Linked DNA regions of Rhinolophus ferrumequinum. The protein of the gene in region 1 purifies or fractionates together with the protein of each later gene. This does not show direct contact. Links are inferred from orthologs where the notes say so. Each region holds a gene or a part of one and is shown on either strand. Other genes may lie near its edges.

Region 1 (6,274 bases):
GAATCAATAGCAGGATTCCTGATTAAACATCTCCTTTCTAGAAAGACTACAATTACAAGACAGCGAGCTACCTGGTGATGTAGAAGTGAAAAAGTAGGAAGGACTGAGACATGAGGTGACTAAAGCAAAAGACAAGAACATCATAAAAGGTGAATTTAAGGTTTCTAAAAATGGACTCCTGGTCCTCCTCCACTAAACCAAATCCCAATCTTTTAACTGGATTATCGTTTGAAACATTTTTAAAAAGCACTATGTATAATTTTACCAACTAAAATGAAATACCAAACCTAAATTTGGAAGCCAGCGTGGAATTCAGACACCTTCACAAAAAGTCAAAAATATGGAACCTTTGTCTCAAGATGAAAATATACAGACAATTCATGAAGCTTAAAACAAAAAACTCAGGCCAGCCAGGTGGCTCTGGTGGTTGGAGCGCCGTGCTCCTATCACCAAGGTCGCAGGTTCGATTCCCACGTGGGCCAGTGAGCTGCACCCTCTACAGCTAAGATTGTGAACAACGGCTCTCCCTGGAGCTGGGCTGCCGGAGGTCAGCATGGGTGCTGTGTGCTGCCGTGGGCTACCGTGAGCTGCCGTGAGCGGCCGACCAACTACTGGTGACCAACTGCCTCAGCCAGGGGAGCGCAAGGCTCATAAGACCAGCATGGGCCAGGGAGCTGTGTCCTACCCAACTAGACAGAGAAACAATGGCTTGAACCAGACGGGGGGGGGATGGGGGGTGGCAGAAGAAGGGGGGAAAAAACAGCCTCATGTAGCATGCTATCGCTGACTGTTCAATGGAAGTGGAGAGTAACTGGTGGACACACACTCCTATAAAGATGACATCATGGAAGGCCATTTACCTTGCTCAAGGAAAGAAATTCCTGGACAGCAATATCTGTCCTAAAGGCTAAAGGGACCACTAGCCCCATCTGGACACCAGTTTCTATAGTGAGAGAAATGAGGGCTTCAAGTCATTCACTCCCAGCCTTCTAATAAACCAAAGCCAAAACAACACTATTAAAAATGGTTCTTTATCAATATTTGAATGTGAGATGCTGTCTTACCTAAGTGAAGTTGAGAGAAAATCTCGGGGCAGAGGTCACCCAAATAAAAGTGACAGACCCTGTGTTTAGGATCGACTGTCTTAGAATTAAAAAGTACCAAATTTATGTCATATTTTACACTCAATGCCAAACTGCCACATAGGAAATATCCATTAGAAGAATATAGGCTAATTGACCCTAATTATAACATGACATAGCCTTTAACCATAATTCCCAAGAATATTTTCAAAGGAAGCTTCCAATTTGTGGAACCTCGGTTATTTTGCCTTCACTGCTTAACCTGCCCTTAACGGCCTGAAAGTCCACACAACATTAACTGATTTCTCAGCCCCACAAAATTTAGGTCCACAGTTAACAGCTTTAACAAATTTTTTTTTTTTTTTAGATTTTATTGGGGAAGGGGAACAGGATTTTATTGGGGAACAGTGTGTACTTCCAGGATTTTTTCCAAGTCAAGTTGTTGTCCTTTCAGTCTTAGTTGTGGAGGGCGCAGCTCAGCTCCTGGTCCAGTTGCCGCTGCTAGTTGCAGGGGGCACAGCCCACCATCCCTTGCAGGAGTCGAACCGGCAACCTTGTGGTTGAGAGGATGCGCTCCAACCAACTGAGCCATTCGGGAGCTCACAGCAACAGCTCAGAACTGACAACCTTGTGGTTGAGAGCCCACTGGCCCATGTGGGAATCGAACCGGCAGCCTTTAGCATTAGGAGCATGGAGCTCCAACCGCCTGAGCCACCAGGCCAGCCCCAACAATTTTTGAATAAAAGAACATTCTAACTGTATCACCAGGAATTTATTTTATTTGGGTAAAAGCAGAAAAATATTTTTCGTATGTAAAACTAGGTATCTAAGTTTTGCACTGAAGTAATGTTTGCTACCTATTGTCCCTTATTTTAAATAATACAGCTGAAACTTTTTTTGTAAAGGTACATTTCACTAATATCGCTCAGCCCTAGTCAACATCAATGTCAAACACAGTGTTACAAAATTCAAAAAACTCAAGTCCAGAAACTATTTTCTGCCTAATACTCCCTTTCCAGAGCCTAGCAGCGCCTCAGAGTAACACAGACAGCAGTCCTAATAACACGCCGCTGGCGCGTATAAAGCGTTCAGCAGGGGCCCGCACGGTGAGGCACTTCACTTCCAGCTGAATCGTCACCACTTCCCTTTGCCACACCTCTCCTGGGGGATGAGTGATATGCTCAGGGTTTCCCCAGAAGTGGTGGGGTGTGGGTCTGAAGGAACCATCCAGATCCCATAGCAGGCATTCAACAAGTATTTGACTAGATAAGCCAATCGGAACAGTAGAGGTCCACTCCGTAGGTTATGAACTAAATATATCTGCTATGCTTATGTTTTAGTTTTAGAAATTTTCAAATAAGAATATTACTGTGGCTAGATACTGAATTATCAGTAGTGACTTTTTTTTTCTTCCAGAAACAATTTCAAATGTCTTACTTTGCAATGACCGACATAAGCTGAGAATTCATAAACTCACTGAGAGGTATAAAAGCTACACCAGTCCTAACGACACGACTGGGGAATATTAATCAAAAGGCACAGTGATGCCAGAACTCTTCGTCCGACTTCACCCGACTCCAAAAATGTACCAGTTGCACTCTGACTTGGACGAAACTGGTAGTAATTCTTGGAGCTTCCCTGTTTACGCTTAACTACTCGAGCAATGCTGAGACACAATTTTGCTCGGATTACAATGAGATTGTTTCTATGGGAGAAAAACAACTGCATAAGACAAGTTTTGTCTTCCTCTAGGGCCTGTAACCACCACAGACAGTAATGAAAAGAAACGCCTTGAGTCACAGGGCCGCTCGGCTCAGGGAGCCTGTTCTGCTACATCCCATACCTAACGCAAGAAGCGAAGGCCAATTTTTTTTTAAGGACCACACCACGCTCGGAGGAAAGAACCGTCTCAATCACACCCAGCTCCTCGCAGCTAGAACCTTAAAACTTTCTCCACGGAAAGAGCAAAAATAATCATTTAAAAAATCCGAAAAGTGGCGAAGTACCAAGTGGAAGATCCCCCCTGGCAAACCAGCGTAGGGTCCCCAAAGCAGCTCAGGCCAATTCTGGTCACTGACGACCGACCTGAGCGCCGGGACGCACGGAAGCTCCCGATGGGGCTCGAGAGGTTAAATCTAAGCCAAGAAAAGGTCCTTTTAAGAGAAAGGCAACTCTCTAAGCCCACGTAATCCACAGGCAAACGAAGGAGGCTGGCGGCGCGGCGCCAGGTAAGTTCGGCCCCGCGGTCAGCGGGCGCGGGGAGAAAGCGGAGGGTGGAGTTCACTTTTCCCTCCGGCCGCCGTCGGCGATTCCCTCCCCCACCAAAAAGGGAGAGAAAAAGCCAGAACCCGGCGCGCGCCGCGGGGTCCCAGGGAGGGCTGGCGGCTCGCGCCCCCCGCCCACGGCCCGGAGAGGCCCAGGCCCCGCGCGCGCCCGCCCGCCCGGCCCCCGCTGCGCCCCCAGAACCGTGCGGCCCCGGCCCCCGCCCCCGGGCCGCGCACTCACCCGTCTCCCACCACCACACACTTGATGGCCTGCATCTGGGCCGCTCGCTGGGCCGCGGAGGCGGCGGCCGGGCGCTGAGACGAGAAGCGGCGGGCGCGGGGCGCGGCAGGCGGGCGGGCGCGCGGCTGCGGGCGGCAGGGCGCGGGGTGCCGGGGCCGCTGTCCACGCCGCCTCGCCCTCCGCCAACGGGAAGCCGAAGCCCAGCAGCGGCCACCACCCAAAGCTGGGGAAAACTGCAGAGAAACAGGAAATGGCCGCTCCACTCACATCCGGCCGCCCCTCCCCCGCGCCCGCGCCGCGGCTCCCAAGCTCGGGGCGGGGCGCTCCTGCCGGCGCGCTCACCGGCTCCTCCCGGCTTCGGGGACGCTCGGGAGCGCTCGGCTCCGGCGAGGCGAGCGAGGCGCCATGTTTGCGCGCAGACGGCGCGGTGCGGTCGTGGCCTGCGGGCGTCGGCCTGGGGAGGGGCGCTGGGTCCGAGGAGCCCTGAGTCCCAGGGGCCACGTTCTCGGCGCCCCATCCTGCTCCTGCCCGAGGCCCGCAGAAGGGCGTTGGTCTGTCTGTCCATCCTGTGTGATGACCGTAACTTATGTGATGACAGGCACTTCTAGAAAATTCGGAACCCAAAACTATAAAGACCATAGGCCGTACCATTATTCAGACACAACCGAGGTATATTAAGCCCCAAATGTGCTGAATTTTCTTCCGTTGCGTATGCATTTTCTATTATTTTTAATGCGTTGAGCACTTACTATATCCTATGCTTTCGTTGAACAGAAATTTTAACTTCCACGGCTGAAAGTCATTTTAAAAGAAAGGGTTTATTGGGTCATTGCTAGCTAGAAAAAAAGATGACCAGGGCCCGGGGCATATATTCTAAACCACCAGCAGCCGCGCCAGGTGGAGAAGGCAACATGGTGTCAACCGGCTTTTTTAGGGAAACAGTTTGGGGAAGAAAGATGTAGGTTGTTTTGAAAGAATTTACACTGGCTACAGATAAAGCTGGTGGGAGAAGGTGCTGCAGAGCTAGCTCTAGGGTAGGCACTGAATCCATAAGGAAGAAGCATTTGCTTCTTTGGATTAGTGGTGGGCAACAGTCTAGAAAGTTCATACTTAAACAAGAAGTGGACGGTTTGATGGCACCTGGCTATTATGTCTTTTAGATAATTGTGGAAATAGCCACCTGGAACTTAAAAGTTCCAACATACACTAAGGAATGTGAGCAGTCTTGTTAGCTGGCCCCCAGCTACTAACAAGCTAACTGTTCTCTTTTGCTCACTTTCCAGCCGGTTATAATTTAATTTGTAGCATCGCAGAATTTTTCTCATCACTTAATACCAAGTTCTGGAGATAATGTTCAGTTAGCAGACCATTCAAGTGCCAATGTTTTGGTGTATTTCTGCTCAGTTGTTTCTTTATATGCATAATGAACATGTTTTAAACAGCATTGTGAAGTCATACTGAATCATTAGAACATTTTTAATGGCTGCTTACTAGTCATTCCATTATGTACATGTACCATAATTTAAGGATTCCTCTATTATCCGAGGGTTGAGTTGTCCCCATTTGACAAACAATGCTGGGATGAACATGTTTGTGCAACGATCTTTATAGCTTCATTTCTTTAAACCACGTTCCCAAAAACGGAGTTACTGGCTTAATAGAGGGTGAGTGTTTTTAAAGCTTTGGTACTGTTGTTACATTGCCCCCCCCCCGCCCTCCCGCCCCCCCCCCTGCAAGCTTCACACTCCCCTCAACCCTCTGTGAGAGTGGACCATCCAGGGGAGTTGCTTTCCACTGATATTTTCATCTTTTAGGCCTTCTCTTTGTATAATTCACTCTGTTGCTCTGTATTGTAACAGTTTTATGAAATCAGGCTTTTTCTACACAAATTTTTTTTAACAGTTCCTTTTTTTTTTGTTTTTTGTCTTGCAATTATTTCAAAAGAAACGTGTTCCCAGGGCAAAGGGCATCTCCTTTTTACTCTGTTCATAAAGTTCACAACTCCCTTAAAAAGGAGTTGAAATTTCAAGTGCAACAGTGTCCCCTTGGCTGATAAAAATTTCCTGTGAATCTATGACAAACCTAAACTAAGTGTAATTACCTTCATGTCTTTGGACCAGAGGCAAATAAAAGGGTAGGCCTCAGGTCAATAGTTTAATTCAATTGTACAAACATTTGCATGCTGCGGTTGCATTATGGCCTGACAGTAAATGAACCAGATAAGGACATAGTTGCTAGAATAGCAAGCCCACTGTGCTCAGTACTATATGTGGGGTACAAATACGGTGTTTATCAGGAAGCCAAAACTGTGTTCACTCTAATAAGGCTTTCATCAAAGAGATGAGACTTGAAAGATGGGTCTGTGGAGGATTTTTGGTGGGTCTTGATGGAGTAAGAAGAAAAGAGTTTTCCACAGAGAGAGCGAAATCCTGGAAGTTAAAAGCTGAGGACTGTCTTCAGATGGGACACAGAGGGAACTAAACACTTGGCTGTCCCAGGTCTAGAATCTAGAGTAATCAGAGGCTGGATTGCAGACAGCCTGTGAGTATGGCCTTTATTATGACAGGACATGAATTGTTCAGCCAATACATGACACAACCACATTCAGATGATTATTTCCATAGATTGATAAAGTGAAAGTCCACCATATTAGACGTTGGACTGTGACTATAAAATAAAGCGAATGT
Region 2 (6,274 bases), on another chromosome or scaffold:
TGCTGTAGCAATTTTTAATAATAACTTTATAGGATGATTCACATGGTATGACATATTCAAAGACTGAAAAACTTTAAGGAAATATAAAATGACATATTAATTATAATTGTCACAAAAATCATATATCCATGGCAAAGTATATGCTTATTACTCACATATTATAAGGCACTCACACTATATACTACACATACAGGAAAACTATGAAAGGGTTGTATCTTAGTAACAAAATGCTTTTGATGTAAAATGTAGAGAACTGCAAAAATTGTGACTACTTCATCTAGAACTAATCTCTTTTACAATAGACAAATTCCATTCAGTCTAGGGCCAATATATCTAAAAATTAGTTATACTGAAAATTGAATAATGAGATCAGTATCTACAAAGTTCTTCCTCTATTGGGTCCTCTCTGAGTGATAAGCAGCTAGAAGCGCTCAAGTTCATATGGAAACATGATGGTGGCTTTTCTTGAGGAGGAATAGTTGCGTTTAAATTATAATATGGTGCCATTTTCGTTCCTCTATGTAGCACTTTTGTAAAACTAGAAAATGATATAACCGTTCATTGATGGTGCTCTGTCATTTTGTCTCTAGTTAAATTTCTTTGCAGTCTCCTAAAAGAGCACATCTTTCTCCCAACATTCAACACTTTTCAGTTTTCTTGTCTGGTTGCCCCAAACCCTTACACAGCCTGGCTTTTCCCAGGTGTGCTCTTATTACCTCAAGCTCCAAATGCTTGCTTCCTCTAAATTAAAAATTTAACTATCAGGTTGGAAAGTAACCAGATAAATTAAAACCACAATGTGCTATTGACTAATGATAGCTCAATAGGTGATCTCTTTGAAGTGTTTGCATTAAAAAAAAAGAACTCTTTAGGTACAAAGCATTCACTCAAGGTAATGAAGTTCTATGTATAGAATTTCAAGCACAAGCACAAGGTCAGGTATGACTGACTTCCTGGACCCTCATGCCTCTTAAATCAAATCCACTCAGTCCACTCCATTTCTCTTATTGGGATATTAAAACGAAGATTTCCGTAGGAATAATACATACACTAGCTTTAAAGAAAAGTTTAAAAAGCTATATCACCATTTCCTCTTCATATTTTGATCAATCCGATGATAGCTTATTTACTCTTAGAATGTCTTTTATTGAAGGTGGCCGAACATTTTGTCATTCACTTAAAATTAATGAGGATAATAGAAAAGGTTAACACACCGAAGGAAATTAAGCCAAAAATATCGAAGAGGCTTGAATCCTCTTGGCTGGAATTCCTAACCCCAGTCGATTACTTAAGTCCTTGATTTGTTCATTTTTGGAACGATTTCTCATAGATTTGACCACAGGGAATAATAGCTTTGGCGTCTAACAGGAAAGAAACTCATGGGGGGAAGAAACCAAGAGCTAGAAAAGTAATAGAATGTTCCCAAGGAGGGGTGGGATTTAAGGTGGAGTCCAGAAAAAAAAAGGGGGGAGGGTTCCTTCGTTCATTGAACGAACATTTATCTTTCGCCTCGCAGATACTAGGCCCTCTATGTTCGCGTCTTCTCCGGATGGGTGCTGCCCGTCGACAAACTCCGGATTCCGATTATCTCAGAACTTGTGTCGCCCTCACTTCCGATCTCCTCCCTCCCAAACCGCCCTGCTGCGGCGGAGTTAGGATGGGATGGGAGGATGGGAGACGCGAAGCCCGCTCCGCAGAGCACAACTGCTGTGTGCAGCGGGGAGCGTCTGTCAAGCAGTGGGAGGAAACAGAGCTTGGAGCCACCAGCCCACTCGAAGGCGAAACTCTCCTGAAACCCGCACCTCCTCCCCTCCCGCCCCCAGGCTTCTGCTGATTTCTTTAGGGAGGTGGTGCGGCAAGGCAACTTTTGGGAACTTGCAGGAAAGGGGTGTGTGGCGAACTGGGACGAGCGTAGAAACGTGACCCTTCTCGATCCCGGCTGAGGACTCCCACGCCCGGCGCAGCGGGCGGCCCCGGCCGCTGGCAGACCCGCGCGCCGTCGCAAGCGGCCGCGGAGCGCAGCCAGGCGGGCGGGGCGAACGAGGGCCCCTCAGGATCAGTTCCCGGTCCGGCCTCGCGGGGGCGCCGGCGCGGCGATCAGGTGACCGAGCGCTCGGCCCGGGCTGCGGGAAGCGGCCTCGTTCTCAGCCGCCGGAGACGCTGCCGCCGCTGCCGCCGCTGCCGCCACACCTAGTGGAGGAGACGGGGAAGGCGGCTCGGTGGGGGCTGGGGCGGAGAGCGCCGGGGGTGGGGACGGAAGGGCGGCGGGCGGAAGGCAGGAGGCTGCCGGGGCGCGGGCTGCTGCGGGGAAGGGACCCCTAAGCGTCTGCCGCGGCTCGCTCTGTCACTGGAGCGGAATTGGGGCGCACGGGCATGGGCGCGCTCCCCTGAGGCTTAGGTCGCGGGTGGGAGGGGAGGAGGCCCGAGAGAGGTTGCGGCGGCCGCGGGCCGGTGACTGGGCGCGAGGAGGCCGGCGGCGGCGGCACCACCACCACCACCACCACCACCACCATCACCATCACCATGTCGCGCTCGGTGCTGCAGCCCAGTCAGCAGAAGCTGGCGGAGAAGCTCACCATCCTCAACGACCGGGGCGTCGGCATGCTCACCCGCCTCTACAACATCAAGAAGGTGCGCACCGGCTGGCGAGGCCTCGGCGGGGGCGGCGGGCGGGCGGGCGGGGGAGGGAGGGACAGCGAGGGAGGCTCGGGGGTGGGGGCGGCGGGCGGCGCCCAGGGCCGAAATCACGGCGTCGCGGCCTCAGGCCCGGCCCGAAGTCTCCGGGCTGCGCCGCGGCCTAATGCGGAGTCCCGGGCGCCTCCCCCGATGGTTCGCGGGCCGGCCGGAGGCAGTGAGAAGCCATTTCCCGGCTCCCAGTGGCGGGATCCGGCCGGGCTTCGCACGGGGTGAGGGGCGCCGCTGCCGCCGCCGCTGCCCTCTCCCCGGAATGGGGTCATCAGGAAAGGGAGGGTGGTGGGTGGGCGAGATGGGAGGGGGGCACTTGGGTGTTCTATAACTGAGGTGGAAAGGTAGCAATCTGGCGGAGATGGTAGCATTTTTCCCCCCCAATTTTTTGATGTCTAAGTGTGGGAATGTGGGAAGGGAACGGCTAATCAGGATGAACTCCGCATCGTCTTCACTTTGCCGCTTTATTTTAGATTGCTAAATAAAAGCCATGTGAGAGCGTGTTGACGATTTGCGTATTTCATTTTGAAAGTGGTTCATTTTGAAGGTGGAAAGAAGTGGGAAGTGAGGGTGGAACCAGTTTTCTTCCGAAATACTTGTGGGCTGTGAGTCACTAGAACAGGAATAACAACCTTCTCTCCCTTCCCTCTGTTCTCCTCCTCATCTTAATTTTTCAACCCTGTCTCATAGTGCCAAAACACCATTTCTTAAAGTTCGGGGTCTGTCCAAATTAAAAACTGTAAATATGTTGCCATTACCGCTGATTCATAGTATATTCTGATAATTTAAATAGTTATAATGGGTTAATAGGCCTATGGAAAGTCTTTACATGGATTCAGCAGATTAAGAAATGGAAGGTTGAATTGGAGTTAAGAAAAACAGATGTAAAGATAGAACAACATATTAATTTATATTAGGAGAAAACAACCAAAACCTTTTTCCTTTTAAGAGAAGTGTAGTAAGTTTTAAAGAATTTGATAAAGTGAAAATTAAGGAGTTTTTTGGGTACAATATAGATCCTTAGTTTCCAGTATGTATTTGATGTCGTATCTTCACAATTATTTTTGTTGGCTTTTTAATCTGTCATGAATATTTTCTTTTAGTTTAACCATAGCTATAGAATTACTGTGTTTGTAAATTAGGGCTGCTGAAGGAAGAATATGTTTTTGAAATTTATATCGTGGAGTTTAAGTATAAAACTGATTTATTTCAACAATTTGATGCAGACATGGTAATTCTAAAGGAGAATACTGTCTTGGGTTAAGAGTAATAAATCCTATATAAGGATTGCTGTGTTCAGGTGGCTCACCTGAATGCCAGATTTGACCCTACATCCAGTGAATTCTGGAGAGTAATTGCAACGTGCCTCCTCAGTTTGTTATATTTTATGTGGCAGGAGCTCAGTGTCATTACAAAGAAGCCTTCTGCTTTTACCCAAGAGCCTTAGTTATAAATTTATGTTGGTTGGGAATAATTTCATTTTGGATAGTGTTACTTATAGGTTGCATTGACCTGAACTTTTTTCCTGAGATTACCCTCTAACATTTGTGGAAATTCAAACATTACTAAAAGTTACTAGACCTGTGGTATTGTGGTTAAAGGAAATGGTTATGATGGTTTCTAGAAGAGGAAGTGAGAGTAACATCAAAAGTGATTTGAGTATTTGGGCAAGGTATCTTTTTAAGCATTCATTAAACATGTATAAACAGGTATAAATACAATCAAACTTTACATATTCCATCTTCATAAATAAATAATACTAAATTGTAAGCATTTGAATTCTTATAATTCCAGTTTACTGCTTTTCTCAAAAGCATATATATGTTTACTTCCTGTTTTGAGAAACTTCAAGCTCCTATATTGTTGAACTAGTAAAATTAAAATGAATATAACCATTATATCCAAGAGTCAAATATTATGTTATGTTTCAGCACTTAACACATTTATAGTTTGTTGAGAAATATTTTGTCTATCTTGCCTGATTTTGAATTCCCTCTGGGCAGGGACAGTCATACATTTTTGAATTTATAGTACTTTGGACCTTACCTGGTCCTCATGGCCTTCAGTTAGGCCTTGTTGAAACAGATACTATGTGCGTGTGTGTGTATATAGTTATAGTTATATAGATAGTTATATACAATATATATTTAAAAATATAGCATAATATATATATTTACATGTGTGGTTTTGTTTTGTTTTCTTTTGTTTTGTTTTAGTGTGTTTTTCCAGGACCCATCAGCTCCAGGTCAAGTAGTTTCAATCTAGTTGTGGAGAGCGCAGGTCACAGTGGCCCATGGGGGGATCAAACCGGCAACCTTGTTAAAAGCATTGCGCTCTAACCAACTGGCTGCCCCAATATATATGTAGTTTTAATAATAATAGTTTTGGGTTTGCTCTTCCTTGTGTAATTTTGCATACAAATACACCAGATTTGACTCTTTCAGCCTATGTAGAGGTGTCTATAATACTGGCACATCTTCCCGGCTGGCTAGGGATTGAAACATTTGTTCAAAAATCTTGCCCGAAAAAATGAGTAAGATCTGTTCACCATGTGTTTATAAGGTTCATGCTGTCTGCATTTTTATGACAGTATAAACCACATAATCTTTTCAATCTTAGTCTCTTATAGTTAAAAAAAACAAAGACCCTTCCACCATATAATGCGTGTCTGCCAAAAAAAATAACAAAGACCCTTCCACCATATAATACATGTCTGCCAATCAGTTAACCACATTTTTATTAATGCATGTATACATGAGATTGTCTACCAGATATGAATGCTCTATTTCAAGTAGAAGTCGGCAATGGAAATATTTTAGTGAGCATACACAATGAAAAATATTTTACTGACCTACGTAAAATAACTTCATAAGTTATTATAATGAAGAATAATATGCTTTAATGTCATTAGAGGGAATGTAACATAATTACTGAAAAATGTTTAGCTTGTTTTAAGAAGAAAATTTCATCAGTCGGAAAATTTTTGAGATCTTAATATGTATAGGTTATGGAAATTTTAAGAAACTTGTTTAATCAGGGATGTAATAACACATAAAGGAGGATTTTAAGGAAAAGACATGAAGATGGCGGATATATTTACATTTAAATTTATTTCTTAGTCCCATAAAATTTTATTTTTTATTAAAATTATGTCTTCCCTTTTCCAGACCTAATAATACCACTCACTTATATAGTGGTTTTTAACATTTTTCAGGCTACTTTTATATCTCTTACTGTGGCATGTCAGGCAGTGTGGTGGTGGTGGTAGAGTACTGGGGCAGAAATTAGGAAATCTGCCTTCCAATTTTCAGTCTGTCACTGAGTTCTGTAACATTGAACAGGTGTTTTGACTTCCCTGAGCTTTGTTTTTCCTCATCTGTAAAGTGGGGGGAATGTAACTATAAAAGGAGCAATAATGTCGATTCCAGCTCTGATTACGTTATCTTTACAAGTTCATTGTGAAACAGTAGGGTAGAAGTTACGGCCCATTTTAAGTAGTAACTGAGCTCAGTTTAGTTTTCCATAATACAGGGATGGTAATGCTCTGCCTGCTTTATAGGATTATTTGTGCAGGTAAAAGACAGTAACA

The links.
Region 2: the proteins of RAC1 (region 1) and NCKAP1 purify together in Homo sapiens (pull-down; 4 studies listed by BioGRID and IntAct, with this or other methods). This does not show direct contact. The link is inferred for Rhinolophus ferrumequinum from reciprocal best matches to the Homo sapiens genes RAC1 and NCKAP1.

What each region holds. Positions count from the first base shown.
Region 1 is NC_046307.1:41,102,537-41,108,810, reverse strand, and holds the start of RAC1 (ras-related C3 botulinum toxin substrate 1), read right to left. Parts: upstream 3,820-6,274; 5' UTR 3,623-3,819; coding exon 3,588-3,622; intron 1-3,587. UniProt on the Homo sapiens protein: Plasma membrane-associated small GTPase which cycles between active GTP-bound and inactive GDP-bound states.
Region 2 is NC_046291.1:43,732,734-43,739,007, forward strand, and holds the start of NCKAP1 (nck-associated protein 1), read left to right. Parts: upstream 1-1,499; 5' UTR 1,500-2,523; coding exon 2,524-2,631; intron 2,632-6,274. UniProt on the Homo sapiens protein: Part of the WAVE complex that regulates lamellipodia formation. The WAVE complex regulates actin filament reorganization via its interaction with the Arp2/3 complex. Actin remodeling activity is regulated by RAC1.